2 linked regions of the Astyanax mexicanus genome follow. The protein of the gene in region 1 purifies or fractionates together with the protein of each later gene. This does not show direct contact. Links are inferred from orthologs where the notes say so. Each region holds a gene or a part of one and is shown on either strand. Other genes may lie near its edges.

What was found. The genes of interacting proteins can lie anywhere in the genome.
Region 2: the proteins of rrm1 (region 1) and rrm2b purify together in Homo sapiens (affinity purification with western blotting; 3 studies listed by BioGRID and IntAct, counting the BioPlex papers as one, with this or other methods). This does not show direct contact. The link is inferred for Astyanax mexicanus from reciprocal best matches to the Homo sapiens genes RRM1 and RRM2B.

Annotation. Positions count from the first base shown.
Region 1 is NC_064424.1:10,477,066-10,484,741, reverse strand, and holds the start of rrm1 (ribonucleoside-diphosphate reductase large subunit), read right to left. Parts: upstream 3,053-7,676; 5' UTR 2,914-3,052; coding exon 2,895-2,913; intron 1,595-2,894; coding exon 1,506-1,594; intron 1,309-1,505; coding exon 1,131-1,308; intron 1,022-1,130; coding exon 921-1,021; intron 827-920; coding exon 767-826; intron 643-766; coding exon 603-642; intron 501-602; coding exon 338-500; intron 41-337; coding exon 1-40. Other genes in the region: slc6a7 (sodium-dependent proline transporter), read left to right, coding at 6,369-6,497. UniProt on the Homo sapiens protein: Provides the precursors necessary for DNA synthesis. Catalyzes the biosynthesis of deoxyribonucleotides from the corresponding ribonucleotides.
Region 2 is NC_064410.1:43,457,148-43,464,728, forward strand, and holds the start of rrm2b (ribonucleoside-diphosphate reductase subunit M2 B), read left to right. Parts: upstream 1-4,527; 5' UTR 4,528-4,620; coding exon 4,621-4,668; intron 4,669-6,776; coding exon 6,777-6,926; intron 6,927-7,581.

The sequences.
Region 1 (7,676 bases):
CCCGTCAATGCTGTCGTCACGCATAGCAAGAAGGAAACAGCTGGAAAAAGGAAGGAAAAAAAAATCATGATAATTATACCTGAATATATTATACAAAAACCTCATTACATGTAAGGATTATATAAGTCTCCTGCACCCAAGTGCTACAGAAAGAGGTCAAACAGGCTTAACGACAAACAGTCTAAACCTTTAGGAACACAACTTTCAAAACTTGTTTTACTTTACAGTTTATAGCTTTGTTTATTTTACTGAACTGCCCTCTTATGTCCAAACTCTGAAATGCAGGCATATTTCAACATGTTTCATCAACAGCAATATGTCTCCCTCTGGTGTATACCTGGAGAGCTGAGGCCGGTTAGTGCCTGCATTGAAGAGTGTAGGAGAAGCGTGGGTGAACCATTTCTCAGACAGCAGGTTGTAGGTCTCAATAGCAGCAGCAATATCTTCCTTATGGATCCCAACTGCTACCCTCATCAGCATGTGCTGTGGCCTTTCTGCAACTAAAACCAGATGCAAAAAGACAGTGAGCAATAAACATTTGACATTGCTCATATTTAGAGAAGTCTTCAGGAATCAGTAAAACATTTATTCAAATAACTTACCCTTTCCATCAATCTTGAGCAAATACGACCGCTCCAGAGTCTAAAGAAAGAACACACATTCAGTTGAGGTGAGTAATTTGTAGAATAACTATCAAATTTGTTTTTAATAATTAGGCAGAGCACATCAAATATTCATTAGAAGTTATTTTCAAGACTCAATTTACCTTGAAACCAAAGAAGTTGTAAGAGAAGTCCCTGTCGAAGATGATGGCTGAATTGAGGCGCTGTGGAAAGAACCAAGGAAAACTAGGTATTAGGGGAAAAAAAAAAAACCTTTACAGATCAAAAGAAAAACAATAAATGCTTTATCATTCTTACATCCTTATTAGCCAAGATAATGTCAAGGGTGTCCTTGGAGATCATTGGGGAGTGTCGTCCATTAAGAGGATTAACGTAGTTGTAAAGGTCCTCCATAACCTCTGCAAAAAGCAAAAACACAAAATATATATATTTTTTTTCCGCAAGTAATGTATAACAAACCTCTGGAACTCTGCAGGAAATATACACCAAGCCGGTCAGATTACTTACCACTAAATACCTTCTTTGTCTCCTTGTGCAGGTTAGACACTGCAATACGGGCTGCCAAGATGGCATAGTCAGGATGTTTAGTGGTGAGGGTAGCAGCGGTCTCTGCAGCCAAGGTGTCCAGCTCTACAGTGGTCACCCCACTGTACAAGCCCTGGATCACCTTCATTGTTATCTGAGTCTGGAAACACAACAGCAGAAAGGCATATTGTTAAAACACATTGTAAACATGTTTTAATAATAATAATAATAAAAAAGAAATTCTATTAAACAGATCAGACAGTCTAAAGCTGTGAACATATTGCAATGTCAGTATGCAGGTTTTGAGGTTGTAGAACGATACAAAAATCTCACAAAGAATAAATAGCCTATACATACAGGATCAACAAAGTCAGAGTTGAGTCCATAGCAGAGCTTCTGGATACGTGAGGTAATTTTGTCAAACATAACACGCTCCTGGCGTCCATCTGCAAATAGAAAATAGGCATTTTTAGTAATACAGAACCTTAGAAAAGTTGTGTTTTGTATCAATAGTCAATATTGACCAAGCTAGCAATCTAAGATAAGAGATAAGATAAGAAAATCCTTTATTAGTCACACAGTGGGCAAATTCACAGTACTACAACAGAAAAGTGATAGCAAGGCACTCAGTATAAAATAAATGTATTATTTTAAAAAATAAAAATATTATATAAAATAAACAGTACCATATAAACAATAAAAAGTCAAGAACTCTTAAGATTGTATTTACAAATTCTGTTACACTGAACAAATTTAATTTTCTGTATGTGTGTAGCGTTTAGGTGTGTGTCTAGCTTGCTTCGAACCAAACTAGGTCAAACATGGAGACCTTATTGTTCTAGTTTAGTATTCACTTGTTTTGCAGCAAACATGATTATAATTACAAGATTGCAAAATGTGTTAAGGGTGTGTACCGCAATCAGATTTTAAAGAAGTTTGTTTTTATATGTTTTTTTTCCTTTATGCTGAGAACTTGTCAAAGTTTTTCCCAAGCTCAGTACCTTACCACCAAAGCTTTAAATACAAGGTATTTAAGTTAATTTAGCATTTAAAGGCGCAAAGGTTAGAAAATAAGACATTATCTTGTGCTAAATTAACTTGAAGTGAGAGGGATTAGCCAGTTAACTAGCTAACGAACTCGGCCAACAGGCTATTTGGCGCCAACCACACTGACAACAAAGGAGGAGTACTGCAGCATACAGGAACAATGGTGATAATATAGCGAAGTTAGCTATATAACTGTCATCTAAATGCATGTTTTATTTAGCATAAATAATATTTAACGGATTTATTAGCTGTTCATGTGAATAGTGGATAAACCGGAGACTTTATTCTGAATATTTGCTGGAGCTAACTAACCTAGGTTAGCTATCTAGCTTTCTTTACTGGGAACTTCACACAACTATAATTAACCTAACTATATTTATCATTTAAACCACTTGTCTGGATTTAACAACAGTAAACACAGGTTTAAAACAGAGCTAATAGAGTAAATATATCAGAAAGCAAAGCTAGGACTACAGTAAAGCTACAAACATATATAGCTAGCTAACTATATAGAAGTTCACTGCCAAAATAACGTTAGCTAGCTCACTTATATTAACTGTTATAAAACATACATTACTAGCTATATAAAATGTCAGTTAGTTGGCTATTTAAAGCATAAAGATTAATATAGGGCTATTTAACACAGCTAACCTAACCAGATTAGATAAGAGGCAAAATAAGAGGCAAAAACACACTCACCTCGCTTGAGGACGTACATGTTTACTTATATTGTAAGGAAAAGTGCAAAACTGGTACAAAAATGACTATTATAACAGAGGTACTGTGTATCTAACTACTAGCTTGGGCCTGCCGTCCAGCACTGACCAGCTGATGCAAGAAATAAAGCGCGAATGTCTTCAAACCGTGACAGAAAACCTCCATGCTTAACTGCGAGGACCAATCAGAGGAGGGCTGGGGGCGGGACATCCTGATCTGCAGCCACTGGCAGCTTTACTGGATTAGATAAATTCTAAAAACAGTGAAGGTGACCTACTATTTATCATTCTTCCAGTCTTTGGAATATTTATGTTGTAGTGTGTTATTTATTGTGAGATAATATATTTTATGTTTGTTGAGAAAGATTTAGGCTTGTGGACATTAAAGAGTCCACATGGCTACTTTTGCTTTGTAATGCATATTGTAAACATGTGGATGGTGCTATAAAAACAGCAGATGTACGTATAAGTAGGTATTAGTCTCTTGCAGAAAAAAGTTTAACACAAACAGACAAATACACTTGCTTCAAAAAAATAAAAATAAACAAAAGAAGGAGAGGGCGATAAAAATCGCTTCAATATAGCTAACTTGTGTACCCATGTGAGTTATTATTGGGAACGATTTTTATACGCTAATGCAATATATACTGTAATGTGAGACTTAACTATTTTTAAACATACTTGATAATAAGAATTAATAAGAAATTACATTTTTGAAATTTGCCGTTTTGTTTATTTGTTTATAGTAATTTATTAGTAATTAGTATTGATTAGTAATCATACTGTGCATTGTTTTTATATAAACAATTTTTAAATACTATTTTATAATAAAAATTAAAAAAAAAAAAATACTAAAATAAAAGAGACCGGACTTCTTTCTGTTTTCTGCGTGGCGGAAGCAGATGGTATTTTATGTGGCGGGAAATTTGAAAACCGGCAAAACTCGATGTGAGTGAGATTGGCGGGTGTGTGTGTGTGTTTGTGTGTGTGTGTGTGTGTGTCAGGAGCTGGAGTGGGGTAGGGTATACAAACTGACACAACCATTGTTCCTTCTTCATATTTTACAAAGCAACACCACAACTAATACTAAGTCCCTCAGTGCAAAATAAAAAGAAAAATCCTTGAGATTTTTATATTGATGTTTATATACATCATATAACATATATTTTATTATTTTGACATTAACTGTCAGTACATTTCTCATCATTTCTGTTCTCTTATGTGTTTGAACCTAAATAACGAACCTAATATTTTTATCTGGACATGTAATATGTTACATAATAATACACATGTAATATATTTGTATCCTGCACTTAATTTGTTGTTGCAGCTGTTTTATCTGGTAACATAACAGTTTAAATATCTTTAAAATGTTTTTTTACTATTCTGTTAAATACTAGAATTTAAAAAGAAAAAAGCAAATGACAGGCCCAGAATAGCCAGATGTATCAGATATATTGTTTAAATGTATATTATTATTGTATATAAGTATTATATACAATAATAGTGTGTGTTTTATCATCTGACTATATTATATTAGGAATGCTAAAATACTGCACACTGACTCAGATATGACTGGTTTCCTACCTGGTAACAGCATTTCTGAATGTTTCTGAACACTTCTTCCTCTTTTTTACACCTCTTCCTTCTTTGTGTTTTGGAGAAACTGATGCCAAGAAGAGGAGGAGTTCATGTGAATATTTTAGCCACTCCCACATGACCATCTTCTGACAGGAGAAGGAGTTTCTCTGAACAACAAAACCACTCCCACAGGGTCACACACACACACTCACACACAAACACACACACAAACACACACACACTTCCTTCTTCGCAGAAGGAGGAGCAGTCTTTTTGAACAACAGAACCACCCCCACACACACACACACTTCCCACAGAGAAGGAGGAACCTGTCTGAGCATCACCTAGAAACAACAAAACACACAGTCATAAAGTACAGTGTGAACCTTTATGCAATTACTAACTGTCACTACAGAACATAATTACACAACATACAAAACTAATAAAACACACTTAAAGATTAATATGACTTAGAGAAATTATATATTTAAAATGGCAACATTGGCACTTATGGCCTTTAGCAGAAAATATGTGAATAGACTAGAGTTCAAGTAATTGTAGACAAACAAGTACAAGTGTACTGCACTAATACATCAAACAAAACATTCACATAGCCAGCAACTAAACACACAAACACTGCATTAAAGTAAAAAAAAAAAAACAAGAAAAAAACAAGATGCATCAGAATGTACAATACACTACAGTGTTTAATGTGAGATATCTAATCTTTTGTGTTTTTTTTTAGAATTAGGTGTTAACTCATGGTCTATACAGTCACTGGCCTATACTTCATACTAGCAAAGTTGCAGTTTCCTGCGTGGCTTCCTGTGGAAACGAGAGCAAAATGCTGTGCAACACATATCAGTCAAACAGAAGAAAAGCGGCATATAGCAGCTTTTAAGAGAGATCTGTGTTTTTTATACCAGGAAAAAGGCTTCCTTTATTTCTTTATTTAATTCTTTGGTTATTTACACAGCATATATAAACTTGTCTTTTTGTTATTTGAAGTTTATTTAAAGACTGTAATTGGCAGACAGACAGATAAGCAGGCAGACATATGGATATACAGGCAGAAAACCAACAGATAAATGACAATTAATGACAAATTAATAGACAGGCAGATAGACTGACAACAGGTAGACAGAAAGACATGTAGACAAACTAACAAATAGACAGGAAGATGTATATAAATGGATATACAGGCAGATGGAAAACTGACAAATAAATTAAGACAAATTAATAGACAGGCAAGAGACACATAGGCAGACAGATTGACTGAAAAGACTGAAATGTAGACAGACAGATATGTAGGAAGATTAACAGATAGATAGGCAGACAAGCAGATGGACAAACTAACAAATAGACAGACAGGAAGATGGATATAGATCCAGGCAGATAGAAAACCGAGAGATAAATTAAGACAAATTAAGCGACAGACAGGTAGACTGGCAGGGAGACATATAGACAGGAAAATTAGATAGATAGATAGATAGATAGATAGATAGATAGATAGATAGATAGATAGATAGATAGATAGATAGATAGATAGATAGATAGATAGATAGATAGGAAGAAGGAATGCTGTATAGGAGGAGTGGGTGTGCTCAGGTGTATAATGGCCTGTTTATAGGGGTGAGGAGAGAGAGGTTCCTCCTCTCACCTCTCTCTCTCTCTCTCTCTCTCTCTCTTTTTGTCTCCTCCCCTCCCCAGGATCAAACATGGCGAGCTGAACTGTACACCTGCGCTGCTTCTGCTGCTGCTGCCGGGCTGCTGTGAGTTTGTGGGGCGGAATGTAACTTTTCTCGCGGTGGTTCATCACTGTTAGTCCGGCGGGTCCTGAACGGGCGCGTGTTTGTGAAGCTGCTCCGCCGCCTCGATGAAGCCTTTACCGGAGCCATGTAACAGCGAGCATCAGAAGAAAGGCTCGAGCGCCGCTGCCCCTGGGGAGATGCCGAGCGCGGAGGAGGCGAAAGCTCCACCTGGAAACACGGAGCTCCGCACGGAGGTGAGCCGGCCAGAGACCTGCCCTTACCGGGGCCCGGGGTTTCAGCCGTTTCTGGTTATTAAACTTTATTACAGTAAAGAAAGTGTTAAACCTGGACAGCTGTAGTCTGGCGGTTTTGAGTGGGCTTGTTTGGTTTGGTTTGGTTTTTACTGACTGGGTGAGGAGGTAACTCAACCTGTTTGACCTCATTCCTGGAAAAGTACAACAAAAAATAGGAAAATGTGTATCAACAGAGACCACTGTTTTTATTCCTTTAATACTGCTTCAAAAAGTAGTTTTTAGCACAACTGGCTTTACTTTAAGTAAGTACCACCACTAACGTTACAGTGAAAGTGAATGAGGAATTTAGCGTTCAACTAAAAAACAACAACAACAACAAACAGTCAGGCTATATTTTGTGCTGTTTTTATTAACTATAACTGTTTGTAAACGTTTATTAAATGCTCCCAGTCAGAATTAAGTTTCAATTAAGTTTTTGATTTCACGAGGCAGTGAATTATTTCCTAAATAAATAACAATATGTTATGAGGTAAATGAAAATATAAGAAATGAAACAGACAAATAACAACACTCAAAAGTGTAAATAATAATAATAATAATAATAATAATAATAATAATAATAATAATGATTATTATTATCATAAATTAAAATAGTAATATGTGTGGTGGCTACACAGTATAGTTGATGGTCAGAAATGGTCTAGACATGGTCAGTTTACAGAGTGGTCAAAAAGTACCAGAAGTGGTCAAAATAAAATTTGTGCGCTGACCTTTATCAGGAATTTTAACTTAATTAAATATAAACATATGTTTTATTTTTATATTAGTACATATTAGGCCTACCACAACACCCTACAATATATTTGCACAACCTCAATTATTTTATTTAGAGAGGAATCACATTATATTATGTTTTTCTTAGCGAAAACAATTAATGTGAATGGCTGGAATGTTCCTTTAAAAAAAGAGTGGTTTAATTATATTCATCCATTAAAATTAATTAATTAATTAGACTTAAAAGTTCATATAATTGTAATTTTATGCAATGAAATTATTATGTCATTATATTAGTGGCATTAAATGGTCTTAAAATGACAATAATATTGTTTAGCACAATTATTTATGGGGCAATATTTAGTTTTTGCCTAGTTTAAATTTGGCTTCTCAAGGCAGTAAATT
Region 2 (7,581 bases), on another chromosome or scaffold:
ATTTGAAACTGTTGATTTTCACCATTTTAATAATAATTACATTTAATAATTGTTTTTTGTGATCAGATTCATGCTGCTATTAGGCCTTTGCTGGAGGCCTATTTCCCTGTTATGTCTGGAGTGCGCGTCATTGCTGAGCCAGGAACTTTTTATGTGTCTTCCTCTTTCACCTTGGTTGTAAATGTCATTGGAAAGAAAGTGGCAGCAGGCAGTCTTCATGTTGAGACTAAAGGTGCGTACATTCTGTCACTACACACCAGTGGATATTAAATGCCACTATTATATAGTCTGTAGTATTTTTTATTTTTGAGTTTTTTATATTTCTGTGAAATCATCTGCAGATTTGACTCCAAGCGATGAGCCAGAATTTTTGTACTATTTAAATGATGGTGTCTATGGATCTTTTATGGGAAAGCTGTTGGGAAACACCATTCCATCCCCCAAGGTACACAAGGTATGGACACTCAACACACAGAACCATATACATGCAAAATTGGTTTTACTACCAGATCTGGTCGTTTGAGTATGTGTTTTTTTTTGTTTTGTTTTTTTCCCTCAGATGTCACTTGCAGCAGATGAGCCGATGTTCCCCAGCAGCTTGTGGGGTCCCTCTTGTGACGCATTGGACCAGGTGGTGGAGCACTGCCTTCTCCCTGAGCTCACTGTGGGAGACTGGCTGATCTTCAACAATATGGGGGCCAGTGGTCAAGAGGAGTCCGCAGCCATCAATAACTCAGACAAGCCACCTGTGTATTACACTATTTCTACAGACGACTGGTAATTACAAACATAATGGATACTGTGCTTTTTCTGCTCTCTTTTCAGGCTTGTTGTTTACTTGTTTTAGTACATAATACATTAAATGTATAACAAATTATGATGTCTGGACACATCTGGTCATTATGTAAATTAAACACACTATAACTATTTTTTTAACCAAAACTTAAACAAAAATTAAAGTTAAGTAGTTATTAAAAGTCACATTTATCTATGTACTTTCTGTCTTTCAGGTTTGAGATGCAGGAGGCTGGAATCTCTCTTGACAACACAATGAGGAATTTTTCCTTGGTCCAGTATTGCTTGTAATTGGATAAAATCTGAAGCTGACCCCCTAACTTGGGCATTTCAAGTCAAGTGGTCAGAATTTAAATGGCCTGCATAGTGAACATTCCAGCAGCTATGGGTGGGGACAACAATGTGTAGCCACTAGTAAAGGAACAAGACCAGTGGCATTGGGATCACACAATAAATTATCCTTATCTAATTTTTTCACAATTTACTGATTGAAATGCTCGTTTTCCTTGCCCACCATAGGAATGAGTCCAGGAGCCCCATGTTTATTAACAACATATGCAACAAAATGGACGACTGTGGAGATGGAATCCAGTCATTGGGTTTCTTAATCAAGAATCGTTTACATAAGTGTTCAATTAATTTAATTCTATATTGATTACCTGCTGACAGTCTTGTAAATGAGTTGTCTATTGCTCCATTATGCACTTGTCTATATTAAAATCTGATGTGATTTTAATGAGTTTAGATTCTAGTATCAGACGTGTTGCAACCCTTTGTGTAGATTGACAGAGTGGAAATTTTGATATTGATTTGTTATATCAAAGCTTCTCCATCCTAGTCGACCCTGGGTTTTTAGAACTGTGGAGTGCACCTTTGGTTGTGTCTTCAGTACATGGATTGTGACAGTATTTCCCTGTATTAATATGTACTGTCCCTTGGCTTTATGTACTGTGTTTGACTTTGTGGCCTAAAAAGGCTTATAGAATGAGAACTATAGGGTCACACCAGTATACTGTACAAGTACCAAGGACATATGCCTGATATTAAAGAAACCTTTTAGAACTGGGACTTGGGGAAAGTGGCTTTATATAGCATTTGGGTAGGGAAAGAAGGTGACTTCAAGCGAAATGTGCAAGTGCCTGAGGCAGTGTGCTCAAACTACCAGTAACAGTCACCATAAGCGCTGCAAGATTCATGCTATTAATCTCTGACAGCTCCTCTCAGGCTTCTCACAATAAATAGCTGTTTTAAAGATTTGATCATATTTTTCATTGTAAGTAAAACCAACTTACCTAAATGGCTTTTGTCTCCATAACTAAAATGTAATGATTATGGAGTGAAAAACATCTAACACAATATAGTCTGATATGTATATAATATGAGCCCAGGCTATGCTTGTATCATTTTCCCTGAAGAAACAATACTTTGGGACCAGCAGAGGAGTTAAAAAAAAGGTGCCAGATGAGGTGTATTTTGTAATGTAGTACAACAATGAAACATTTGATCATATCTTCTTGTGCTGTTTACCTTCCAAAAGGCTTTGTTAAATGTCTTTTGATTTAAAAATTTATAACACCCCTCCATTTAATGAAATCACACCCTTTAGCGATGTAATGTAAAATATTTTTGTCTGAGGCACTAATGGACCATAGCCTGTTTTTGACTGTAATATTGTGTTGTAATGAAATATATTAACTTAATACACTTCTTTGACTCATAATACTCAGTTTCTTTCATTTGTTATAGTGTTTCAGATAGTATAAACTTAATAAATCAACTCTACAGCAACATCTTGTGCGCCCTACACTTTGGGACAGAGAAGGTATACATTTTTATGGTGTACCTTTCTAGCTAGGCCTGTAATTAATTTTGTACAGCCATTGCACCCAAAGAAAAGTCCCATTCCAGGTTTGATACATCAGCCAACATAGCATTATATTGTGAGTGATGGGGGCGAGAACACCATCTGCCCCCTCTTGGGCTCCGGCTGCTAATATCGAGGCAGCACTCCTTGTACTACCTGCAACATGTTTTAAATACTGTTGCTACACACTGCCCTATTTTCCTATATGATGGATTTAACTGCTGCGCACAGACAGAGCCCCATATCGGCCTAGACAGACAAGACTGTCTAAAATCAGAGAACAAGTACTGGTCTTTTCTATTTTTATGTAGACAAAACTCAAAGTAAATGTGTCTCATGTTCATACATTGTTTGATTGATAATGTAAATATTAAAACAGGTTTAACTGTAGCTACAGTCAGGCACGAAGAATAAAAATTAGTCTTTGAAGCTTTGAGTGAAAAGCACTTTCCAGACATTGAGTATATGTGCTGTATTACCGGACTTAGTGTCTTTATCCAGTGGCTGAAGATCTTTATTAATTGACAGTGGTTTATGTTAAAAACCTTCAGTTTTGTGTTTATTTTTTGATATGTCCATCTATCTTCTCAGTTTGATTAATTTATCCATAAAACATGAATCAGAACTCTGCACTCTCATTTCTGCAAACGTCTGGCCCTTTGGTTTTTATAATTCCACTCATAACAGGATGAGGTGTAGGCTGTTTTTCATTCACAAATCAATAATGTGCGCAGTAGATTGAAGTTGTACTTTGGATGATTTCAGGAGCTGATAAGATCCTTCCTCAATCAATTATAGTTGTTTCTTTCAGTCAGCCTCATTAAGGACAAAGGCCAAAAGCAAGAATATGAACCACAGCTCTGTCACATGCTCATTCAGTAATCATTTAACTCTTCAAAAAGGACACTTGCAAAACAGGGCATAAGCAATAAAATGTTACACTTTTTATCTCTTAAAACAGATTGTTTGTTAATTAGGCCGTTATCGCTGTCTTTAACACACACTATATTTTATTGTAGTGTATACCTTGCTCAAAAAGCATGGCTACAACACATTGTAATTGAATGGGTTGGGCTAAATATATGTAATTATGCTAGTACCCTGATATGGCATTTGTTTTATTAAATTAAAGTGTGATACTTATTAAACTGAGGGGACAAACTGTTAAATTAAGGTATTAGTAGAGGTGGGTGATATGGCCCTAAAATAATATCACGATATTTCATGGTATTTTCGTGATAATTGTACTCTTGCCGATATAAATTAATGATTTTTTTTTTTCAAGAATACACTACTGCATCAAAATGAAAATTTTATTTAATTATTGCATACGATTTATGTCACACCCCTTCCTTAGATATTAAAAATTACAAGAATTTAATCAGACTTGTAATAGAGGTCAATGCTGCAGAATGCCATGATACTAATAATGCACTCCAGATATCTCCATATATCCAGGGTTAAAGTAAAATAAATGATACTTGACAGATATAATCTGTCTCTAGTAGATTTATAATGGGAAATGAGAACCGTGTGAATTTTTCTTTTGCTAAAAACAGGTAGAAGAAGTAGAACCCTGATATGGAATTTGTTTTATTAAATTAAAGAAAAAGTGTGATAATTATTAAACTGAGTGGACAAACTGTTAAATTAAGGTATAAGTGTTTATAGTTTGGGAATATTTTATTATTTTGAGGGAACAAATTATTCCCTTGAGGAATGTATTAAAATAAAGGAACAGTTATTAAATGTAAGGTATGATTTATTCAGCACAGGGTCTGTTAGGGTTGTGTTTCTGTTAGCTCAGTGGTTCTCTGGTTGAAGTCCTCCTGTGCGGTTCTCTGTGTGGCCGGAGGGGGCGCTGTGCTGAAGCCTCTCGCCGTTGTTTTGCCTCAGTGTTTTTATTCACTCGCCTCAGATGACAGGGACGGTAGTAACACTGTCATAGCGGCGCATCTGTAATGGACACCAACATCATGAACGTGGGGACGGACGACGGGCCATATCAGGTAATAAGAGCAGGAGCTGCTCGCCGTCCTGCGGACCGTGTGATTAAGCCAGGGTTAGCTAGGTTAGTGGTGTTAGTGTGGTCACAGTGTGCAGTTGTGCGACCTTTCATAATAAAGAGCAGAATGAGGACCTTACACAACCCCCGGGGTTTATTAGTGTACCTGTAGCTAAATCTACAGTTATATAAAACACACATTATTACTGTGTGAGAACAGCTGTCTGTCTGAATGCTGTCATCCGGCCTGACAGCACACGTAGTTAGGCTCTTAGATAACTAGTTTGTGTTATTTAAGCTCGAATGGGGTAAAAATAGATTGTTTAGATAATGTCGAGGCCGTGTCCGACTGAACAGGACCAGGAATACTTACTGTACAATTTTAACGTGTTTTAGCTGTCCTTGTTTCGTTTTAAGACTCTTAAACCTTTAAATAAAGACTAATATAAACTACCACTGAGTGACCACAGACCGTCCCTTTAAATTCTCTGGCAAGGAAACCTGTCTTCACCACACCGACTGGCTCCCCCTACTGCTGCCTCCACACCTAACCTTATATACTATCAGCTCTGGAAAAAAAAACTAAGCGACCACTTAAAATGATGAGTTTCTTTGATTTTTACCAAATTAAAAACCTCTGGAATATAATCAAGAGGAAGATGGATGATCACAAGCAATCAAACCAAACTGAACTGCTTGAATTTTTGCCCCAGGAGTGGCATAAATTATCCAAAAGCAGTGTGTAAGACTGGTGGATGTGAACATGCCAATATGCATGAAAACTCTGATTAAAAACCAGGGTTATTCCACCAAATATTGATTTCTAAATATTAAAAACTTTAGAAATATAAAATTGTTTTCTTTGCATTATTTGAGATCTGAAAGCTCTGCATCTTTTTTTTGTCATTTCTGTCATTTCTCATTCTCTGCAAATAAATGCTCTAAATGACAATATTTTTATTTTATATGTTATTTGGGAAAAATGTTGTCCATAGTTTGTAGAATAAAACAACAATGTTCATTTTACTCAAACTTTTACCTATAAATAGCAAAATCAGAGAATCTGATTCGGAAACTGAAGTGGTCTCTAAATTTTTTTTCAGAGCTGTATATTAAATGGCAGTTTCTCAGACAGAGATAAAGCCTGGTCTTGAACTTGAACTTTTAGCAGGGCAAGCATGATCAAAATCAAATAATCAGCTAAACTAGCTTATTATAATAAGGTACATTTTTGTCTGGATGACCATTAAGGACCAGTTAAGACCATCCAAAACCAGCTACCCACAAAAGCTGATCTTGAGCTTGTTTTTTTTTTTTTTAGCAGGGCAATCATAGGCTACATTCACATTACCAGGCTGAAGTGACTCAAATCAAATTATTCATGACTTTCATATGTGGTCATAAATCGGATACGTGTCCGATCCATGGACATGCAACATGAATGCAAATGGTCAAATTTCAGAATTCGTTGTGTCTTTTTGCTTTTACGCATGCGCAACGTGCTTCTCTCTCATACCCACACACCTCTTGGTGCAGCTGTGCAGCTATAGCTGCAAAAACAGCAAAATCAAACCGCCTGTTCTTTTTTTCACCTCCTCAACCTGAGCATGAACTTCAGACCAGCTGTTTTCTCTCCACTCGAGCAAAAGATGCTCCACATATGAGCTGCTAACGCATTTATTTCCCTTTATAAAACTACAAGTTGTCTCTCAAATATGAATATTGGTGAAGAAGGTGATGTTTATACACGTTTAAATTTGGGCATGTGAGGCGTTTTAGGAAAAGTTTTACAGATACAGGTCACTTACATTTGTCAATGTGAACCGTCAAAATGGCCAAACCCGATCTAAGTAAAAAAATCAGATTTGAGCAATAGGGCATGTAATGTGAACGTAGTCATAGACTATATTTTCCTTTTAGTAAAAAAAATCTCCATTCAGAAATGCAATGTAGTCCAAGTCTAGCCCTAATCCCTGTCTGGGAACCTGATCCATAGTTTTAGAGTAAAACAAGTTTTTGTAAAAACGAAGGCTTAAAATAATGTAGCGCTTTTATAAAAAGAGATTTAGACCCGTTCAAAATTATGTGGAACTAATTGGTTTTGTTTGTCAGAATGGCCACAAAGACGTGGATCCCCAGAGCACAGAAGATGAGCCGCTCCTCAGAGAAAACAAAAGAAGATTTGTCATCTTTCCCATCCAGTACCCAGACATCTGGAAAATGTACAAACAGGCCCAGGCCTCCTTCTGGACAGTAGAAGAGGTAAGTGTGTGCTTAATTTGATTTGGGTTTGTTCCAAAGGTAGATATTACATAAAATACATCTGAAAATATTGACATTTAAGGCAACAATAACATAACACATGACCTAACATTCACACCAAGTGTCCTGATCTCAGATTGGTCTTAGTTGTTTCTGGGCTATCCTATAAATGATAGGGTGTTATTTTATTATTTTCCTAGTTATTAGTACTGTTAACAACAAATAATGATTCCATTTTTAGTGAAAGATTTCAAACACTACATTAAAACCTGTCAGTCATTGCTGACCACACCAGTGCAACAGCTGTTTATCATCAATGTGGTGGAGTTCTTGCCTCATTGCATAAACATGTATTGGAGTTTCTCTCAAAACAAACAGTTAAAGTAGATAATGAAGCACACATTGGATTTCCAGTGATGAGTAAATGCTGACTGGTTGTAAAATGTGTAGATAAAATACCTTGACTGAAGTAGTGCCAATGTAAGCAGTTTAAATTATCTAAAAGCCTTACCCACAGCAGTGTCTGACATAGGTCCTACCTTAAGCAGCCATCTTTGCTCCTGCTTTAAAAGGGTAGGCTCCTCCCCCCCAATTACTTCAGCCACTTTAGACCCTCATTGGTTAGTGATCCTCCTGTGCATTATGAAGCTTAGCA